Anolis sagrei: one gene and its partners. The protein of the gene in region 1 purifies or fractionates together with the protein of each later gene. This does not show direct contact. Links are inferred from orthologs where the notes say so. Each region holds a gene or a part of one and is shown in the gene's direction. Other genes may lie near its edges.

Region 1 (7,331 bases):
CTGCGTCTTTAAGAGACGGGCAGCATGCCTTCCTAGTTTCCCTGATGGACTGTGATGTCATTGCCACTCATTTTGAAAGTATCCCTTTCCTAGAGATGCCAAACTTGTCAGGACAGTTGCCAGGAGACAGCAAATGTTGAGGATTACTTTAGCACTGAATCATTCACAAATATATCTGAAGGGGAATATAATGTCATGATGTGTTTTGAATGAAGTCACAACAAGTTTCAATTTTGATTCCTTAAAGATTATAACATGTGTAATACTTCCCAAGGTTAAAAAACATATACATCATCAGATAGATGTCTTTTTTCAAGATATAAAAACAATCTATTTTTAGAAGATTTCTAATTTCTTTGATTTAGCATCTACCTTTGTTCCAAATAACTTGGTAACCAAAAAACACCTAACTTCCAGTTTGTTTTCCTGCTGAAATTTCTCCCAATGTGTTAGAACTAATCTATGTGTCTAATGAAATGTATTCCACAATTTCAAAGGATGTGAGGAAAGGAAACAACATTTTTTAAAAAGAAACAATTCATAAGTTAGTTAAGATAATTCCTCTTAAACAATCTACTTGTGTGTGTGTCAGGAGCAACTTGAGAAAAACTGCAAGTCACTTCTCGTGTGAGAGAATTGGCCGTCTGCAAGGACCTTGCCCAGGGGACGCCCGGATGTTTGATGTTTTACCATCCTTGTGGGAGGCTTTGCTCATGTCCCCACATGGGGAGCAGGAGCTGACAGAGGGAGCTCATCCATGCTCTCCCCAGATTCGAACTTCCAACCAGTCGGTCTTCAGTCCTGCCAGCACAAGGGTTTAACCCATTGCATCACCAGGGGCTCCTAAACAATCTACTAATATTATGTAATAACGAAAACATATACGAAGGTTATCCTGAAAGTAAGGTTACAAGATTTTTTAAAAAATACAAAGAATGAATATATTTTAATAAAACTTGCATGGGTTGTAGCCAGGCCCGTAGCCAGGATTTCGTTTCGGGGGGGGGGGGGGGGGGGGGCTAAAGTTTTTTTCAGGAGGGGGTTGGGGGGGCTGAGTTTCGGGGGGGGGGCTGAGTCTCAGTTAAAGAGGGTCTAGCTTAGCAAACCTTTTGTATCATTACCCCAATACCCCCATGCATATGGGATAAAATGAGTATGGTGATCAGATCATGATATGAATAAACATAACAGTTTAAATAATGCACCAATAAGGCCTTTTTGCGAACCACCATGAAAATTTCGAGGGGGGGGGGGGCTGAAGCCCCCCGAGCCCCCCCCCCCCCCGGCTACATGCCTGGTTGTAGCATAGGTATTACATTATTTTTCCACATAATCACCATTTAGTTCAATACATTTTGTCATCCGTGGGACGAGTTTTTGATGCCTGTGTCATAGAAGTTTCCCTCTTCCTTTTTCAGTCAGTTTGTCACTTCGATTTTCACCTCATGAGAGAAGGAAAAATGTTTTTCACCAAGGCGTTCCTTCAATTTAGTGAACAGATGATAGACACTGGGTGCAAGATCAAGGACGTGGGAGGGGTGGTTTAAAACATCCCAACCAAATTAAGTCAACAACTCTTGTATTGCATGAGCTATGTGCGAATGCGCACTGTCATGAAAGAGACAAGACTCCCACTGTCAGCATCCCACGACCTTTGTTTTGGATGGCTCTGCAAAGTTTCATGGTCTCACAATATATTCAGTACCCATTTTGCCACATGCTGTCTTGACATTATGTCATCTCCATAAACTGAAACGGTTTTGTGATGAATCACAGCGGTGGTCATGCCCTTAGCATTTAGATAGCATATTACAGCACAAACTTTGCACTGGGAGGGAAACAGAATGAGGACGCTCATCTCTAACCTTCACAATGTCAGTCGATGAGCTACTAACGACTGGCACTGCTCATTCACTTCCACTGGCTTCCTGCTACACAGCAGTGATACCAACTTCCCCTGAAAAAATTCCCCGCGAGAGCTACATGCCTTGGAACCTTACTTTCTGATAACCCTCGTATTAAGAGGGAAAGTAGGAAGGAGGCTACTCCTTCTGGACAACTCCCATCAATAAAAAAAGATGTCCAGAACTACAACCATGTTAGTCTATTGAAGTAAAACCAAAATGTGCATACGTCTCAATGATTTGTGCTTACCCCAAAAGTATAGTTGAATCCTAACAAATTTATAGCGCAAAAACCTTCATTGGGAGCTTGGTTTACATCACAACAAAATTACACTGGAGAGAATATTCAACAGACACATGTCTATTAATACATTACTGATGTAAAATCTGTAACTTGATTCAGGAACAACACAGTAAATCCAACTAGGAATGATTAACATGTTAACTATGCCATTTTCATTCCTGTTATCACTGGAGAAGTAGCTTATAATCAAAGACAGATAGCAGTTAAAACTGGTTTTGTAGCCACAATTGGTAGCTACCAACTGTTGGTTTGACGGTGTTTCAAGTTTTATAATGTTAGATACCATATTTCAGGTTTTTTGGGCTCATTGGTTATTCTTTGTGTGTTTTTGTTAAGTATCTATGATGTAAATCCAAATGACTGGGCTACAGTAAACTGATTTAATCAATGCTTACTTGGAAACTCAACAGATGTGTAAATTCCAGTTATTCCATGAATGTACTGCAATTGAGACTACCAATTGCATCCAGATCAATATGCCTTTTTACATATTTTTTTTCATTAGCAGCATTGGGTGGGGAAAGTCAATATACATAGTGCTTGCCTCTTTTTTCACCTTGGATAGAAGGGTCCTCAGCTCAAAAAAAAAAGCTGGGTTGCAGTTAGACATAAAAAAATCCAATATTATGGCAACCAGACTGATCGATAACTGGCAAATAGGGGGAGAAAATGTGGAGGAAGTGACAGGCTTTGTATTTCAAGGTGCAAAGATTACTGCAGACACAGACTGCAGCCAAGAAATCAGAAAACGTTTACTTCTTGGGAGGAGAGCAATGACCAATCTCGATAAAATAGTGAAGAGTAGAGACATCACACTGGCAACGAAGATCCGCATAGTTAATGGTATTCCCCATAGTCACCTATGGACATGAGAGCTGGACCATAAGAAAGGCTGAGCGAAGGAAGATAGACACTTTTGAACTGTGGTGTTGGAGGAAAATTCTGAGAGTGCCTTGAACCGCGAGAAGATCCAACCAGTCCATACTTCAGGGAATGAAGCCCGACTGCTCATTGGAGGGAAGGATATTAGAGGCAAAGATGAAGGACTTTGGCCACATAATGAGGAGACAGGAAAGCTTGGAGAAGACAATGATGCTGGGGAAAAAGGAAGGAAAAAGGAAGAGGGTCTGACCAAGGGCAAGATGGATGGATGGCATCCTTGAAGTGACTGGATTGACCTTGAAGGAGCTGGGGGTGGTGACAGCCAACAGGGAGCTCTGGCGTGGGCTGGTCCATGAGGTCACAAAGAGTCAGAAACAACTGACCGAATGAACAACAACAACATTATTATTATTACTGTAAGAGAAAATCCACCTTTAATAATAATAATAATAAAATTATATCATAATAATTAATCAATATATAATACCAAAACAATAAACATGGCTCTATCGCCCGAAAAAACCCACAAGAACCTAGTAATACCAATAGGGTACACATATAATAATGCATATTATAATATATATATATATATATATATATATATATATATAAAACAATAAATAATCAAACAATAAATAAACAGGGTTACTGTGAGTTTTTGGGACTGTATGGCCATGTTCCATAAGCATTCTCTCCTGACATTTCTCCCACATCTATGGCAGGCATGCGCAGAGATTGTGAGGCCTGTTGGAAACTGGGCAAGTGAGGGTTATACATCTGTGGAATGTCCAGGGTGGGAGAAAGACCAAGGGCAAGATGGATGGATGGCATCCTTGAAGTGACTGGACTGACCTTGAAGGAGCTGGGGGTGGTGACGGCCGACAGGGAGCTCTGGCGTGGGCTGGTCCATGAGGTCACGAAGAGACGACTGAACGAATGAACAACAACAATCCTTGGTGGGGTTCAAGGCGATCTTTGATTGTAGGTGAACTATAAATCCCGGGGGGGGGGGGTGAACCTCTAACCATCCTCCTCTTCTTGCCTACAGCTGTGTTTGTATGGCCCTGAATTTTGGAGGCCCATGGCAATCTGTGAGCCTGTTCCTCCAGTCCTGGCGCCTCCAAGGAAGGAAGGAAGCGAACAGGAAGGAAGTAGGGAAGCGGGCAGGGCAGGCCTCCCCTTAGCTGACACGGGGGAGGAGAGGCCCCGCCCCTCCGCGCGCCAGGCCACGCCCCCTCCTCCTCCTCCTCCTTTCCAGCGTGGGGAAGTAAACAAGGCCCAGCCCTTCCACTTCCCAGGAGGGAGGGGGTGAGGAGGGAGGGAGGGAGGAGTTGTGGCGCAGCAGGAATTCCCGCTCGGGCGCGGCCTGAGGGAAGGCACGAAGGGGAGGAGGGAGGGCGGCGGTTGGCGGTCCGGAGGGTGATGCGCGCGGCTATTTCGGAGCGGAGGCCTGACCCTTGTCGGCGGGCGGCGAGGAGGGGCCGCGCTCTGGCCTTGGCCCGGCCTCCCCCCGCGGGCCGCCGGGGCCTATAAAGCAGCCGCAGCAGCAGCAAGGAGGATGCAGCTCTTCAGCACCGCCGTCGCGCACTACCCGCCGCCCGCCACCCCCAACGCAGCCTCAGCAGGAGGAGGAGGAGGAGGAGGAGGAGGAGGGAGCCCCAGCGCGGACAGCGGGCCCAGCGCCGCCTTCAAGGCCTCTGCGGAGGGCGCAGCGGAAGGGGAGAGCCACCCCTCGAGAGGAGACTCCTCCGCCATTATGCCCGCCTTCTCCTGCTTGGAGCTGCTCCCCGCGGCGCAGAGGAAGCCCAACATGGTGCGCCGCCGGCCTCTGGACCCCTCCTGGCTGCCCCTCGAGAGCGGAGGAGAGGGTGCCGTTCCCGCTCCAGCAGCAGCAGCAGCAGCGTCTGGAGGGCCTGCCTTCCCGCCCCAGCCGGAGCCTAGCAACCGCGGCCTGCGCTTCAGCGAGCACTGCCAGGCTTTGCAAGCGGCGGCCTCAGCGGAGGACCGGGCCGCGCACCCGGAGGCCGCCTCTCCGCCCTCGAAGCTGGCGCTGTACTTGGCCGAGGTGGAGAAGCAGGACAAGTACCTCCGTCAGCAGGGCCGCTTCCGCTTCCACATCATCCCGGACGGGAACTGCCTCTACCGCGCGGTGTGCCAGGCCGCCCACGGGGAGCAGCGCCGCCACGGGGAGCTCCGCGAGCAGACCGTGCACTACATCGCCGACCACCTGGAGCACTTCGGCGCCCTCATCGAAGGCGACGTGGGCGAGTTCCTGGTCAACGCGGCGCAGGACGGCGCCTGGGCCGGGTACCCGGAGCTGCTGGCCATGGGGCGCATGCTGGGCCTGGCCGTGCGCCTCACCACGGGCGGCCGGCCCGAGAGCCCCACCGTGGCCACCATGGAGCACGCCCTGCCCGGCTGCCTCGGCCACCAGCCCCGCCGCAGCGGCGGCACCATCTGGCTCAGCTGGCTCAGCAGCGGGCACTACGACGCCGTGCTCGACCGCCCCGCCCCCAACCCCGAGTACGAGGCCTGGTGCCGGCAAGCCCAAGCCCAGCGCCGCCGCGACGAGGAGCTCGCCAAGGCCATGGCGCTCTCGCTCTCCCGGATGTACCTCGAGCAGGGCCAGGGAAGGGGCGCCGCCGCCGGGTCCTGACTCCCAAGGCCAGGCCGGGAGGGAGGGAGAGAAGGGCTCGCCCTGGACGCCTTAAGACTTTCTGAGGGACCAGCCCAGGCTGACTGAACTCTGTGCAGGACTGGGCAAACTTGGGCCCTCCCTCTAGGTGGGCTGGACTCCAACGCCCACTATTCCCAACAGCCTCAGTCCCTTCCCTTTAATTTCCAAACATCTAAAGCAGACTTGGGCAAATTTGGGCCCTCCAGATGTTTTGGACTCCAAAGCCCACCAATCCCAACAGCCTCTGTCCCTTCCCTTTAATTTCCAAACACCTGGGCAAACTTGGGTCCTCCAGATATTTTGGATTCCAACCCACACAATTCCCAACAGCCTCAGGCCCTTCCCTTTAGTTTCCAAACTTCTAAAGCAGGCCTGGGCAAATTTGGACCCTCCCTCTAGGTGGTTTGGACTCCAACTCCCACCATACCTATCAGTCTCACCCCCCCCCCCCCCCCGTTAGATTCCAAACATCTAAAGCTGGCATGGGCAACCTTGGACTCTCAAGGTGTTTTGGACTCCAAATCCCACCAATCCCAACAGCCGCTGTCCCTTCCCTTTAATTTCCAAACACCTGGGCAAACTTGGGCCCTCAAGGTGTTTTAGACTCCAAATCCCACCAATCCCAACAGCCTCGGTCCCATCCCTTTAATTTCCAAACATCTAAAGCAGGCCTGGGCAAACTTGGCCCCTCGAGGTGTTTTGGACTCCCAAATCCCACCATTCCAAACAGCCCTTTAGTTTCCAATCATCTAAAGCAGGCCTGGGCAAACTTGGACCCTCGAAATGTTTTGGGCTCCAACTCCCACCATTCCCAACAGCCTCAGCCCCCTCCCTTTTGATTCCAAAAATCAAAAGCAGGCATGGACAAACTTAGGCCCTCCAGATATTTTGGACGTCAACTCCCACCATTCCTAACAGCTTCAGGCCTCTTCAGCGGCTGAGGGGGAAAAGGAAAGGGCCTGAGGCTGTTAGGAATGGTGGGAGTTGACGTCCAAAACACCTCGAGAGCCCAAGTTTGCCATGTCTGATCTAAAGCCTAAAAACTTTTTCTGGGGTTGGTATATCTTTGCCCTACAGAAGTTAAATGAATGGGAATACTTTTTCAATGCCATGGGTGTACATTTTCAATGCCATGGATGTAGACATCACGTCTTCCAAATCTGAAGAATGTGGGAAGAGCTTTTCTTCTCCCTGAAGCTCTGCACGTCCTCTAAAATCTGCTTAAGGCAGTGGTTCCCAACCAAGGCTTCAAGGTGTTTTGGACTACCAAACCCCAGAAATCCTAGCCTTTTTACCAGCAGTTAGGATTTCTGGGAGTTGAAGGCCAAAACATCTGGGGACCCAAAAGGTTGAGAACCACTGGCTTAAGGATTCCTCCCCAAGCATCAAGCAGACTTTGTTTTTTAAATGTGTTCCCTAATTAAAGCATTCAAATACAGGGCAGATTAAATTTTCATCAAGGTCTGAAACGTACACTTTCTGTGCAGGAAGGAGAACATCCCCACAAACAAATTGGCTTTTCCTATCCTAGAATTAAATTGATATATTTTCAAAGCCCCCAAAA
Region 2 (7,400 bases), on another chromosome or scaffold:
TGCCAAGTTTGATTCAATTCCATCATTGGTGGAGTTCAGAAGGCTCTTTGATTTTAGGTGAACTATAAATCCCAGCAACTCCAACATTCCCAAATGACAAAATCAACCCCCTCCAACCTCACCAGTATTCAAATTTGGGCGTTTAAGGTATTTGTGCCAAATTTGGTCCAGTGAATGAAAATACATCCTGCATATCAGATATTTATATTATGATTCATAACAGGAGCAAAATTAAAGAAGTAGCAACGAAAATAACGTTATGGTTGGGGGTCACCACAATGTGAGGACCTGTACTAAGGGGTCGCGGCATTAGGAAGGTTGAGAACCACTGGTCTATATAAATAAAAATGTAATGTCCGTTTGTGGGATTAACAGAACCCAAAAACCAGTGGGTGAATTGACACCAAATTTGGACACAAGACACCTAACAACCCAATGTATGTCCTTCACTCATTTTTTTTATTTTGTCATTTGGGAGTTGTAGTTCTTGGGATTTATAGTTCACCTACAATCTGAACTCCACCAATGATGGAATTGAACCAAAGGTGACACACAGGACTCCCATGACTTACAGAAAACACTAGAAGGGTTTGGTGGGCATTGACCTTGACTTTGGGAGTTGTAGTTCACCTGCATCCAGAGAGCACTGTGGATTCAAACACTTGACACGAATATTCCATATGCCCAAATATGAACATAGATGGAGTTTGCGGGAAATAGACCTTGACATTTGGGAGTTGTAGTAGCAGGGATTTATAGTTCACCTACAATCAAAGAGCATTCTGAACCCCACCAACGATAGAATTGAACCAAACTTGGCACACAGAACTCCCATTACCAACACAAAATACTGGAAGGGTTTGGTGGGCAGTGTCCTTTGGTTTTGGAGTTGTAGTTTACCTACATCCAGTGAGCACTGCGGACTCAAACAATGATGGATCTGGAGCAAACTCTACAAGAATACTCAATATGCCCAAATGTGAACACTGATGGAGTTCGGGGAAAATAGAATCCTGACATTTGGGAGTTGTAGTTGCTGGGATTTATAGTTCACCTACAATCAAAGAGCATTCTGAACCCCACCAACGACAGAATTGGGTCAAACTTGACACAAAGAACCGCCATGACCAACAGAAAATACTTAACGTCATCCAAGCCAACTCCCTTCACCAGGGCAAGAAAACGTAATCAAAGCCCTCCTGACAACGAGCCTTCCAGCCATAGATATAGATAGATATATATGATTCATGCACACGGATATATAGTATCATAGATTTGAAAGAGACCCTTAAAGAAGGACAATTATATGTTGCCTGTTCCAGAGTACGCAAACCAGACACTCTCCAGATCAACACTGACAAAGAAACAGCAAGAGATACTGTTAGAATCATAGAATCAAAGAGTTGGAAGAGACCTCATGGGCCATCCAGTCCAACCCCATTCTGCCAAGAAGCAAGAATGTTGCATTCAAATCACCCCTGACGGATGGCCATCCAGCCTCTGTTTAAAAGCTTCCAAAGAAGGAGCCTCCACCACACTCCGGGGCAGAGAGTTCCACTGCTGAACGGCTCTCACAGTCAGGAAGTTCTTCCTAATGTTCAGATGGAATCTCCTCTCTTGTAGTTTGAAGCCATTGTTCTGCGTCCTAGTCTCCAGGGAAGCAGTAAACAAGCTTGCTCCCTCCTCCTCCCTGTGGCTTCCTCTCACATATTTGTACATGGCTATCATATCTCCTCTCAGCCTTCTCTTCTTCAGGCTAAACATGCCCAGCTCCTTAAGCCGCTCCTCAGAGGGCTTGTTCTCCAGACCCTTGATCATTTTAGTTGCCCTCCTCTGGACACATTCCAGCTTGTCAAGATCACTTCTGACCAAAAGGTCATGAGTTCGAAGCCAGTCCGGGTCGGAGTGAGCTTCTGACCAATTGTGTAGATTGTTGTCGACCTTTGCAACCCAAAAGACAGTTGCATCTGTCAAGTAGGAAATTTAGGTACCACCTATGCATGGAGAAGCTAATTTAAATAATTTATGAGGCCATAAAAAAGACTCCAGCAAAAGCATGCGGGGAATGCGGAAATACTTCATCAGTGTCGCAGATGGACGATGAAAGCGACAGCTCTCCTGGCAGCCAGAAAAGTTAAATAGCCTCTGACTGTCTGCCTATATCTGTTGTGTGTCTTTGGCATTGAATGTTTGCCATGTACATTGTAATCCGCCTTGAGTCCCCTGCGGGGTGAGAAGGGTGCAGTATAAATACTGTAAATAAATAAATAAATAACAATATTATTTTATGATTTTATGTTGTATTATTTTGCTTTAGATGAAGGGTTAGAAGGCAGGATCATCAAGTTTGCAGACGACACCAAATTGGGAGGGATAGCCAATACTCCAGAGGACAGGAGCAGGATTCAAAACGATCTTGACAGATTAGAGAGATGATGGGCCAAAACTAACAAAATGAAGTTCAACAGTGACAAATGCAAGATACTCCACTTTGGCAGGAAAAACAAAATGCAAAGGTACAGAATGGGGACAATGCCTGGCTTGAGAGCAGTACGTGTGAAAAAGATGTTGAAGTCCTCGTGGACAACAAGTTAAACATGAGCCAACAATGTGATGTGGCGGCAAAAAAAGCCAATGGGATTTTGGCCTGCATCAAGAGGAGCATAGTGTCTAGATCCAGGGAAGTCATGCTCCCCGTGCTCTATTCTGCTTTGGTTAGACCACACCTGGAATATTGTGTCCAATTCTGTGCACCACAATTCAAGAGAGATATTGACAAGCTGGAATGTGTCCAGAGGAGGGCGACTAAAATGATCAAGGGTCTGGAGAACAAGCCCTATGAGGAGCGGCTTAAGGAGCTGGGCATGTTTAGCCTGAAGAAGAGAAGGCTGAGAGGGGATATGATAGCCATGTATAAATATGTGAGAGGAAGCCACAGGGAGGAGGAGGGAGCAAGCTTGTTTTCTGCTTCCTTGGAGACAAGGATGCAATGGAACAATGGCTTCAAACTACAAGAGAGGAGATTCCACCTGAACATGAGGAAGAACTTCCTGACTGTGAGAGCCGTTCAGCAGTGGAACTCTCTGCCCCGGAGTGTGGTGGAGGCCCCTTCTTTGGAAGCTTTCAAAAAGAGGCTGGATGGCCATCTGTCAGGGGTGATTTGAATGCAATATTCCTGCTTCTTGGCAGGGGGTTGGACTGGATGGCCCATGAGGTCTCTTCCAACTCTTTGATTCTATGATTCTATGATTCTATGACAGGAAGCCACAGGGAGGAGGAGGGAGCAAGCTTGTTTTCTGCTGTCCTGGAGACTAGGACGCAATGGAACAATGGCTTCAAACTACAAGAGAGGAGATTCCATCTGAACACGAGGAAGAACTTCCTCACTGTGAGAGCCGTTCAGCAGTGGAACTCTCTGCCCCGGAGGGAGTGTGGTGGAGGCTCCTTCTTTGGAAGCTTTTAAACAGAGGCTGGCTGGCCATCTGTCAGGGGTGATTTGAATGCAATATTCCTGCTTCTTGTCAGAATGGGGTTGGACTGGATGATGGCCCAGGAGGTCTCTTCCAACTCTTTGATTCTATGATTCTATGATTAACTCTCTGCCTGGGAGTCTGGTGGAAGCTCCTTCCTTGGAAGCTTTGAGGCTGGATGGCCATCTGTTGGGGATACTTTGATGGTGCCTTCCTACCTGGCAAGGGGTTGGACTGGGTGAGCCATGGGCTCTCTCCCAAGTCTATGACTCTATGATTCTGGGATTCTAAGTGGCTGGTATTCCCCCAAAATGGGCTTTGAAGCAATTGTGACCAAGTCACGCTTTGACGCAATTGTGACCCTCCAGCTGAGAAAGTCTTCCTCTTCTTGGTGTCCCTTATTGTCCAGCTTGTGGGCCAGGCTTGTCCCTCCACATCCCCCCCAACCGAGACCCAAAGCCCTCCACCCTCCAACTCTGGGACCCCCCCCCCCCCTCTTTTGTGGCGAAGGGAAAGGCTTAAAAATAGCCTGGGAGTGTGGAGAGGCGCAAAGTTGAGCGCAAAGTTGGTGGTGACTCTTGGGGATCCTCAAGGGGAAGAAGGGAGGAGAAGGAGTGGTAGGGAAAAGGGGGCTGTCTGGGTGTACCCTCATCCAATGGGCACCCCGTGGCCATTCGGGCGCCCAATCCGGAGTGGCGTGTCTATCTGAGAGGCCGGGCTTGGAGGGGGCGTGGGGCGCGCGTGGGGGTGCGGGTGCCGAGCCCGGCGCGCCTGCTTCCCCGTTTCGTTGTATATGGTCAGAGCGGAGGCATTCCTGGGAGTCCTGGGCCCTGACGTGGAGGGAGAGGGAAGGGGGAAGGGGGGGGGGTCCGTGGGAGGGGAGGGGCCTGCCCAGGAGGGGAGGGGAGGGGAGGGGGCGCCTTAGAAAAGCCCCTCCTGGCCCTCGGAGGGACACTCTCCGGCGTGCGGCTCAGGGCGCATCGCTCCCTCGCTCGGCTCCTCGCCTGCCTGCCTTCCTTCTCCAAGAGGAAAAGACAACCCAGGACCCCACTCGTGTTCCTGCCTGATTTCCGCGTCTCTTTCTGGACTTTCTCACACCTTTGGAGCGCTTTCCCTTCGACCAGGAAACTTGCGAAAAGTTGGAGAGCTTGTTTTGTGCCTCTCTCTTCCTTCCTTCCTCGGGTGAGTTCCACTCCTGTGACTTCGCCAACTTCCCACGCAGGATTTGGGCCATTCCAGCCCTCCCCTCAACGGGTCACTTCCAGCCCTCCACTTTCAGCATCTTCTCAGCTGGGGAAACCCTTCGGACCGGTCACTTTCTCTCCTCGAAGCTGTCCCCTTTCAGGATCTGAGCTGGTCACTTGTCTTTTGGACTGGTCAGTTTCTCTCCTCTGAGCTGATCAACCTCAGTGTCTTCTGAGCTGGTGGATTTCTGGTCAACTGAGTCTGAGTGGGTCAACCCATCCATCAGTTTCTCTTCTCTGGGAGTGGAGGGACTTCAGCCTCTTCTGAGCTGCTCAGTCCCCATCCTCTGGCCGTGTCCACTTGAGCCTCTTCTGAGCTGGTCACTTTCACCCATCCTCTGGACTCCTTCCTTCCCACCACTCCTCTTCAGCCTCTCCTGAGCTGATTGGTTTCAACCGTACTTTCCATCTGTTGGGCTGGTTGATTCCTTGTTTGGATACATTATTGTCCATCCTGTGAATTGGTCGATTTCAGCATCTTCTGACCTGCTTGGTGTCTCTTCCTTGTCCACCTAGATCCACCCACAACCATGAACAGCAACAGCTACTACGACCAGTCCCCGGCGGCCTATGGCTCAGGCGAGGAGCAGGACGAGATGCCGGCCACCGAGAAGGACCTGGCCGAGGACGCGCCCTGGAAGAAGATCCAGCAGAACACCTTCACCCGCTGGTGCAATGAGCACCTCAAGTGCGTCAACAAGCGCATCGGTGACCTCCAGAAGGACCTGAGCGACGGGCTGAAGCTCATTGGCCTCCTCGAGGTGCTGAGCCAGAAGAAGATGTACCGCAAGTACCATGCCCGGCCCAACTTCCGCCAGATGAAGCTGGAGAACGTCTCCGTGGCCCTCGAGTTCCTCGACCGGGAGCACATCAAGCTGGTCTCCATCGGTGAGTCTGGGTGCCCATGCATGTGGTGGTGTAACGGCACTGCTGTCCCACCTTCCTTGCCATGCTTCCATCCTGGCAAGTCCTGGGATCTGTAGTCCAGATATCAGAGCTGGTACGAATCCCAGCATTGTGCAATAATTGTGCGGTGCGATAATTACTATCGCATTGCAATTCTGCTTTCGTTACTGTGCTCTTGTCCTATGGAACCCTTCATTGAGCCATAATAGTTCAAATGGGATTTGTAGACGGTGCTATAGTCATGCTATTCCACCTTCATTGCCATGCTTCCACCCTGGCAAGTCCTGGGATTTGTAGTCCAGAAGTCAGAGCTGGTACGAATTCCAGGATTGTGTGATAATTGTGCAGTGCGATAATTACTATCGCATTGCAATTCTGCTTTCGTTACCATGCTCTTGTCCTATGGAACCCTTCATTGAACCATAATATTTCAAATGGAATTTGTAGATGGTGCTATAGTCCTGCTATTCCACCTTCATTGCCATGCTTCCATCCTGGCAAGTCCTGGGATTTGTAGTCCACAAGTCAGAGTTGGCACAAATCCTAGGATTCCATGAGGTGGAGCCAAGGCAGTGCGATAATTATGGAGTGCGATAATTGCTATCGCATTGCAATTCTGCTTTCGCTACCATCCTCCCGTCCTATGGAACCCTTCAATGAACCACAATAGTTCAAATGGGATTTGTAAACAGTGCTTCCATCCTGGTGAGTCCTGGGATTTGTAGTCCAGAAGTCAGAGCTGGTACAAACCCCAGGATTCCATGAAGTGGAGCCAAGGCAGTGTGATAATTGTGCAGTGCGATAATTGCTATCGCATTACAATTCTGCTTTCATTACCATGCTCTTGTCCTATGGAACCCTTCACTAAACCATAATAGTTCAAATGGGATTTGTAGACAGTCCTTCCATCCTGGTGAGTCCTGGGATTTATAGTACAGAAGTCAGAGCTGGTATGAAGTCCAGGATCCATGAGGTGGAGCCAAGGCAGTGCGATAATTATGGAGTGCGATAATTGCTATCGCATTGCAATTCTGCTTTCGCTACCATCCTCCCGTCCTATGGAACCCTTCATTGAACCACAATAGTTCAAATGGGATTTGTAGACAGTTCTTCTATCCTGGTGAGTCCTGGGATTTATAGTACAGAAGTCAGAGCTGATCCATGAGGTGGAGCCAAGGCAGTGCGATAATTGTGGAGTGCGATAATTGCTATCGCATTGCAATTCTGCTTTCGCTACCATCCTCCCGTCCTATGGAACCCTTCAATGAACCACAATAGTTCAAATGGGATTTGTAGACAGTGCTTCCATCCTGGTGAGTCCTGGGATTTATAGTACAGAAGTCAGATCTGGTATGAAGCCCAGGATCCATGAGGTGGAGCCAAGGCAGCGCAATAATTGTGGAGTGCGATAATTGCTATCGCATTGAAATTCTGCTTTCTCTCGTCCTATTGCCATGCTTCCATCCTTTCGAGTCCTGGGATGTATAGTCTAGAAGTCAGAGTTGGTACAAATCTCAGGATTCCATAAGGTAGGACCAAGGCAGCTCAAGTGGAATCACCATGCGATAATTGTGCAGTGCGATAATTGCTATCGCACTGAGATCCTGCTTTTGCTGCCATGGTCCTGTCCTATAGAATCCTGTATTGATCCATAACAGTTCAAATGGGATTTGTCGTTTAGGAGTTAGAGACATCTGTGTGACAACATTGTGTGAAACTACAAATCCCAGGATTCTATGGGGTGGAACCAAGGCAACTCAAGTGGAATCATAACGCGATA
Region 3 (7,532 bases), on another chromosome or scaffold:
GAAACTGCAGAGCCTGGGAAAATTGTTTTTTGGAACTACGCATTCATTGGCAATTTTGGGAATTGTCACCCAAAGAAGTCACTTTCCCAAGTTAAATCAACTGCCTCCTATAATTCATCCATGTAGCTCATGGTAGTCTCCAAAATAACTGGTACTTGTTCTCCAGGGGTTCAGGAAAAGGTCTTTTCACAGCAGAGATTGAATCTTACACCTTATGCAAGGAAGACAAGTACTCTGCCACTAAATTACAGCCCTTCCCTAGTGATTTCTACCATGATTCCTGGAGAGAGTAATATCACTTGGGTTTTGCCATTTAGACACCAAAATATCTTGGGCAACTTGTGTGATGATTCCTGGATCCTTCACTCAACAGGCACCAGCCAGAAGAACTGCTAGCAAAAATTCTGCTTTAATAAGCCCATCTGTCTCAAATATAACCCATACATGCTAAAATAAGTCTAAGTCTTTACTGAACAGAATATGGGATGCTTTTTGTTATACCATAAGTGATCCATTGATAACACTATGTAAAACTATTTTTGTTCCTGGGTTATAAATGTCATTTCCTAATTGGTTCTATCATAAAGTTTATTGAACTGCAAAAACTTTGTTTTTGTGGGACATCCCGTAGGACATTCTGCTATAGTTTTTCAATGAATATCTCATCAAATCACAACCAATTCAACATAGTTTGTGGCAATCACAAAAATGAAGTTTCTCGAATATAACAAGATATATACTTAGATTGTTTTTACAGGGCAAATAGCTTTTAAATTGTTATTTATTAATACTTATAGTATTTAAATTGTACTAAAGATCATTGTTTTTGATATCGTTGTTTATAATGTATTGCTTATATATTTGTATTATTGCTTGTTGTAAGCCTCCTGAGTCCCTTTGGGGAGAGGGGGCGGGGTAAAAATAAAATTTATTATTTTATAAATGTATAACAACTACCGTATATACTCGAGTATAAGCCAACCCGAATATAAGCCAAGGCACCTAATTTTACCACAAAAACCTGTGAAAACGTATTGACTCAAGTATAAGCCAAGGGTGGAAAATGCAGCAGCTACTATTCAATTTCAAAATAAAAATAGATATCAATAAAATTACATTAATTTGAGTCACCTACGGGCTGAGAAAGGTGGTATACAAATACAGTAAATAATAAATATATTGTCGAAGGCTTTCATGGCCGGAATCACTGGGTTGTTGTAGGGGTTTTTTTGGGTTATATGGCCATGTTCTAGAGGCATTTTCTCCTGACGTTTCACCTGCATCTATGGCAAGCATCCTCAGAAGTAGTGAGGAAGCCAACCTTAAAAACTCTGGCATAGACACTGAGAACTGGGAAGCTCTGGCCCGTGAGCGCTCCAGCTGGAGGTCAGCTGTGACCAGCAGTGCTGCAGAATTTGAAGAGGCATGAATGGAGGGTGAAAGAGAGAAACGTGCCAAGAGGAAGACACGTCAATCCAACGCGGACTGAGACCACCTTCTACCTGGAAACCGATGCCCTCACTGTGGGAGAAGATGCAGATCAAGAATAGGGCTCCACAGTCACCTACGGACCCACCAGAATACTGATCCTGGAAGACTATCCTACTCGGCCAACTAGGGATCGCCTAAGAAGAAGAAAAAGAAGAAAGAATGTGCGTGTCTCTTGTTCCACACGGCCTCGCCTGGTCCAGTCCTTGTTGTTTGTCCTCCATCTTTGTTGCAGACTACAACACTGGAAAACGGGGTTCAATACAGTTGGCCATGGAAACTATTGCATAACTCTGAACACGTGAAACACTTTCAGACCCGAAAAACCATGATAGGTTCAGCTTTGGATGGCCATAAGTTGGAAATGACTTGAAGGCACCCAACAACAAGAAACCCTTGCAACCACTGGCTGGGAATAGGTTAAAAGATGTGGAAAGTCCAAAGTTCTGCATTTGTGGAATGGCTTATGAGAAGATAGCTGTACCCTTCTCTCCTTATCAAGTAAGACACTTGCTCTGCAGCTATGGCTGTGGCAATGCCCACCAGCCACTTATCGCTCCAAACCCATTGCCTGCAATTCCTCATTTCCTGCCACTTCCTAGCATGCCTTCTTCTGTTTCCTACCCCATGTCCCTCAACCCTATTCTTCCTGCCTTCCTAGGCCTATTATTGATCTTTTAGTACTCTTGTCTTGTCTGAGTACTAAGTTAATCAAACAGCTTCTCATCCCATCCATGTGACCAAGTAAATGTCCTGCAAAGTCAGAATTTGGAGAGAGTTACTTTTACTCTAAGGAACGTTTCCAAGCTCTAGCCAAAGGTTGGAGTAGGGAAAGAGATCTGAGTTCTCTCTCTTAAAGTATATTGGCTCAAGATAGAGCGCAGTCTGTTCAGCGCCTTCCAAGTCGCCCAGTCCTCTGTGTTCCCAGGGCGGAGCAGGCCTGTAGTGAGGGGGTGGTTTTAGGGGTTCAACCCCCCCCCCCGAAATGTTTCAGATTTTTTTAAAAAAACCTGTTTTACTCATGAATTTTAATTGGTTAACCAAATCCCCATGCTAAGTCTATGAGATGCAAAAAAATTAAGTCGCTCCAGAACTGCAAGCACTATCTCAGGCAAATATTGACAATTTATTCACACTGTCATTACTTGCAGCAATAGGCGATGTAGTGAAGCAACCAAGTTGGGGGTGTGTGTGTTGAATGCTCTCATTAAGGAGGCCAGACTTGGTGGAGGTGGTTGACAGGCTACTGAAGGCTGCTCTGCCCCTGCTGTGCTCTTTGCTTCAGCGTGAGCTAGGAGGCAGGTTTCAACCCCCCCCCCACGAAAATTTCAACCCCCCCTGAAAATTTCAACCCCTCCCGAATTTTTTTTCTGGCTACAGCCCTGGGGGGGAGGGGGAGTCTCTCATTTGGTATCAGCCATTGGTTGAGGTGCTGGGTTTGAGCCTGCCACTTTTGGACTCTTGCTTGCTGAGGTGTTCCAGTGAGTGTCTCTGTAGATCTAAGAAAACTATGTCTTGATTTTAGTCGTTGATGTGCTGGCTGATACCCAAACAGGGGATGAGCTGGAGATGTTTCTGCCTTGGTCCTTTCACTATTGGCTGCTACTTCCCGGCGGATGTCGGGTGGTGCTATACCGGTTAAGCAGTGTAATTTCTCCAGTGGTGTAGGGCGCAGACACCCTGTGATAATGCGGCATGTCTCATTAAAAGCCACATCCACTGTTTTAGTGTGGTGAGATGTGTTCCACACTGGGCATGCATACTGAGCAGCAGAGTAGCACAGCGCAAGGGCAGATGTCTTCACTGTATTTGGTTGTGATCCCCAGGTTGTGCCAGTCAGCTTTCGTATGATATTGTTTCTAGCACCGACTTTTTGCTTGATGTTCAGGCAGTGCTTCTTGTTGGTAAGAGCACGGTCCAGAGTGACTCCCAGGTATTTGGGTGCGCTGCAATGCTCCAGTGGGATTCCTTCCCAGGTGATCTTCAGAGCTCGAGATGCTTCTCTGTTCTTGAGACGAAAGGCACATGTCTGTGTTTTGGATGGGTTGGGGATCAGGTGGTTCTCCCTGTAACAGGCAGTAAGAGCACCTAGAGCTTCGGAGAGCTTCTGTTCTACCATCTCAAAGTTCCCTGCTTGAGCAGTAATGGCACGATCATCAGCATAGATGAAACTCTCTGTCCCTTCTGGCAATGACCCTCATCCAATGACTGATCAAGACCAAACTTGGCACACAGAGCCCCCATGACCCACTCTCCATCCTGGTGCAATTTGGAGGAGGATGGACCACAGATTATGGGACTCGCAGTACCTTCACTAACTTCCTGAGACCACTGCGAGCCATATAAATAACTGATAAAGACCAACCTTGAGACACAATTCCTTTCTCAAATAACCAGGGCAGTGCTGGATCCCCAAGCTAGTAAATAAATAAGATAACCCAGTTCAAAGCAGATATTGTGGGATTTTCTGCCTTGATATTCTAGGATATAGGGCTGGGTGGAAGGGCCCTGAGTCCACACTGCCATATAGTGTAGTTCAAAGCAGAAAATGTGGGATTTTATTCAGCAGATTGGAAGGGGCCTTTAAAAGATAAATGGTGTCCCCTGACATGAAGTCCAGTCATGTCTGACTCTGGGGTGTGGTGCTCATCTCCATTTCTAAGCCGAAGAGCCGGCGTTGTCCACAGACACCTCCAAGGTCATGTGGCCGGCATGACTGCATGGAGCGCCTTGGCCATCCCTAAACAGAGTTCCTGCCTGGCGCCCCCTGGCGGAGGGCAATGCGGTGCCTCCTTGATTCCCTGCAGGGAGTTGTCCATTCACCGATGCAAAGGGCGCCCCCTAGAGGGAAAAATCGTAAGTTTCCTCGTCCAAAGCAAGAGGGAAAGAGGGGCACTTTCTACCCCGGTGTGGAGGCGCTGCCTGCACTCATCCCCGGGGGCGGTGTCTGGGCCGGTCCTCCTTCTCTCCCTCTCTCTTTCCTTCCTTCCTTCCTTCCTTCCTTCCTTCCTTCCCTGTATCTGCTGCCTCCCCTCCCTCCTTCTCTCCTCCCTCCGAGCCTGCTCTTTACCAATTAAGGCTTGCTGAGCCGCCCGCCCGGCCGGTGTCCACCCGCCGCCCCCCGCCGCCCGGCCAGTCCGAGCCCGGCTCCCACCCGAGACGCAGCAGCAGCATCCTCCTCCTCTTCTCCTTCCCGACCCAAAGACCCCCGTCCCGAGCCCAGGCAGGGCAGGAGGCACCCCACGCCGAGCCCAGCACCCGCTGCACCCGCCCGGAGAGGTGAGCAAGGGAGCCTGGAAGGGAGAAAGGAAGGAAGGAAGGAAGGGAAAGAAGGAAGGAAGCAAGGCTGGGTCTCCCCAAGAGTTGGGATGGAGAGGTCTGCAGAGAGAGAATGAGAGGGAGCCTGGCATTAACTGGACGCAGAAGGAGGAGAGTCACAAAAAGGGGAAAAGTCAGACAGAAAGGGAAATAGGGGAGGATGATGAAGATGGGAAGGATGGAGCAGAAAAGAAACTTGGGGCCCTTCCAAGTTTGAACTGGGTTATCTGAGTCCACACTCAGGGCTCTTCCACACAGCCCCATATCCCAGAAGATCAAGGCAGAAAATCCCCCAATATCTGCTTTGAACTGGGTTATTTGAGTCCACACTCAGGGCTCTTCCACACAGCCCCATATCCCAGAAGATCAAGGCAGAAAATCCCCCAATATCTGCTTTGAACTGGGTTATTTGAGTCCACACTCAGGGCTCTTCCACACAGCCCCATATCCCAGAAGATCAAGGCAGAAAATCCCACAATATCTGCTTTGAACTGGGTTATCTGAGTCCACACTCAGGGCTCTTCCACACAGCCCCATATCCCAGAAGATCAAGGCAGAAAATCCCCCAATATCTGCTTTGAACTGGGTTATTTGAGTCCCCACTCAGGGCTCTTCCACACAGCCCCATATCCCAGAAGATCAAGGCAGAAAATCCCCCAATATCTGCTTTGAACTGGGTTATTTGAGTCCACACTCAGGGCTCTTCCACACAGCCCCATATCCCAGAAGATCAAGGCAGAAAATCCCCCAATATCTGCTTTGAACTGGGTTATTTGAGTCCACACTCAGGGCTCTTCCACACAGCCCCATATCCCAGAAGATCAAGGCAGAAAATCCCACAATATCTGCTTTGAACTGGGTTATCTGAGTCCAAACTCAGAGCTCAATATCAATATCCCAGAATATCAATATCCCAGAATATCACAGTCCTATATCTCAGAACATCAAGGCAGAAAATCCCCCAATATCTGCTTTGAACTGGGTTATCTGAGTCCACACTCAGGGCTCAATATCAATATCCCAGAATATCAATATCCCAGAATATCACAGTCCTATATCTCAGAACATCAAGGCAGAATATCCCACAATATCTGCTTTGAAATTAGTTATCTGAGTCCACACTCAGGGCTCTTCCACACAGCCCCATATCCCAGAAGATCAAGGCAGAAAATCCCCCAATATCTGCTTTGAACTGGGTTATCTGAGTCCACACTCAGGGCTCTTCCACACAGCCCCATATCCCAGAAGATCAAGGCAGAAAATCCCCCAATATCTGCTTTGAACTGGGTTATTTGAGTCCACACTCAGGGCTCTTCCACACAGCCCCATATCCCAGAAGATCAAGGCAGAAAATCCCACAATATCTGCTTTGAACTGGGTTATCTGAGTCCAAACTCAGAGCTCAATATCAATATCCCAGAATATCAATATCCCAGAATATCACAGTCCTATATCTCAGAACATCAAGGCAGAAAATCCCCCAATATCTGCTTTGAACTGGGTTATCTGAGTCCACACTCAGGGCTCAATATCAATATCCCAGAATATCAATATCCCAGAATATCACAGTCCTATATCTCAGAACATCAAGGCAGAATATCCCACAATATCTGCTTTGAAATTAGTTATCTGAGTCCACACTCAGGGCTCTTCCACACAGCCCCATATCCCAGAAGATCAAGGCAGAAAATCCCACAATATCTGCTTTGAACTGGGTTATCTGAATCCACACTCAGGGCTCAATATCAATATCCCAGAATATCACAGTCCTATATCTCAGAATATCAAGGCAGAAAATCCCACAATATCTGCTTTGGACTAAGTTATCTGAGTCCACACTCGAAGCTCTTCCACACAGCCCCAGAATATCAAGGCAGAAAATCCCACAATATCTGCTTTGGACTAAGTTATATGAGTCCACACTCGAAGCTCTTCCACCCAGCCCTGTATCCCAGGATATTAAGGCAGAAAACCCCTCAATATCTGCTTTGAACTGGGATATCTGAGTCCACATTCAGGGCTCTTCCACACAGCCCCAGAATATCAAGGCAGAAAATCCCACAATATCTACTTTGAAATGAGTTATATGAGTCCACACTCAGGGCTCTTCCACACAGCTCCAGAATATCGGCAGAAAATCCCACAATATCTGCTTTGAACTGGGTTATCTGAGTACATACTCAGGGCTCTTCCACACAGCCCCATATCCCAGAAAATCCCACAGTATTTGCTTTGAACTGGGTTATCTGAGTCCACACTCAGGGCTCTTCCACACAGCCCTATATCCTAGAATAGCAAGGCAGAAAATCCCACATTATCTGAGTGTGGACTCAGATAACCCACCCAGTTCCCAAGCAGATATTGTGAGATTTTCTGCCTTGATATTCCAGGATATAGGGCTGTGTGGAAGGGGAGGAAGGAAACCCCCGCGATGGAGGAAGCAAGAGAAGCTGTCAAAGGAAGAGAAGGGATGCATACAAGACCCACAGAAAGGGAAGGATGGGAGTCTGAAAGTGAAAGGAGGAGAGAGCTTCAGGCCCCTTCTACACTGCCATATAATCCATAGCGGATCATCTGCATGATCTGCTTTGAACTGAATTATATGAGTCTACACTGTCATATAATCCAGTTCAAAGCAGGTGATCTGTATTTTGCACAGCAGTGTGGAAAAGGTCCTAGAGCAGTGGTTCTCAACCTGTGAGTCCCCAGATGTCTTCAACTTCCAA

The links. The genes of interacting proteins can lie anywhere in the genome.
Region 2: the proteins of OTUD1 (region 1) and FLNC purify together in Homo sapiens (affinity purification with mass spectrometry; 3 studies listed by BioGRID and IntAct, with this or other methods). This does not show direct contact. The link is inferred for Anolis sagrei from reciprocal best matches to the Homo sapiens genes OTUD1 and FLNC.
Region 3: the proteins of OTUD1 (region 1) and FLNA purify together in Homo sapiens (affinity purification with mass spectrometry; 3 studies listed by BioGRID and IntAct, with this or other methods). This does not show direct contact. The link is inferred for Anolis sagrei from reciprocal best matches to the Homo sapiens genes OTUD1 and FLNA.

The regions. Positions count from the first base shown.
Region 1 is NC_090026.1:108,588,614-108,595,944, forward strand, and holds the start of OTUD1 (OTU domain-containing protein 1), read left to right. Parts: upstream 1-4,331; 5' UTR 4,332-4,648; coding exon 4,649-5,746; 3' UTR 5,747-7,331. UniProt on the Homo sapiens protein: Deubiquitinating enzyme that specifically hydrolyzes 'Lys-63'-linked polyubiquitin to monoubiquitin.
Region 2 is NC_090025.1:195,929,090-195,936,489, forward strand, and holds the start of FLNC (filamin-C), read left to right. Parts: upstream 1-4,395; 5' UTR 4,396-4,652; exon of another isoform or gene 4,653-5,230; 5' UTR 5,231-5,244; coding exon 5,245-5,602; intron 5,603-7,400.
Region 3 is NC_090022.1:176,930,168-176,937,699, reverse strand, and holds the start of FLNA (filamin-A), read left to right. Parts: upstream 1-4,527; 5' UTR 4,528-4,767; intron 4,768-7,532. UniProt on the Homo sapiens protein: Promotes orthogonal branching of actin filaments and links actin filaments to membrane glycoproteins. Anchors various transmembrane proteins to the actin cytoskeleton and serves as a scaffold for a wide range of cytoplasmic signaling proteins.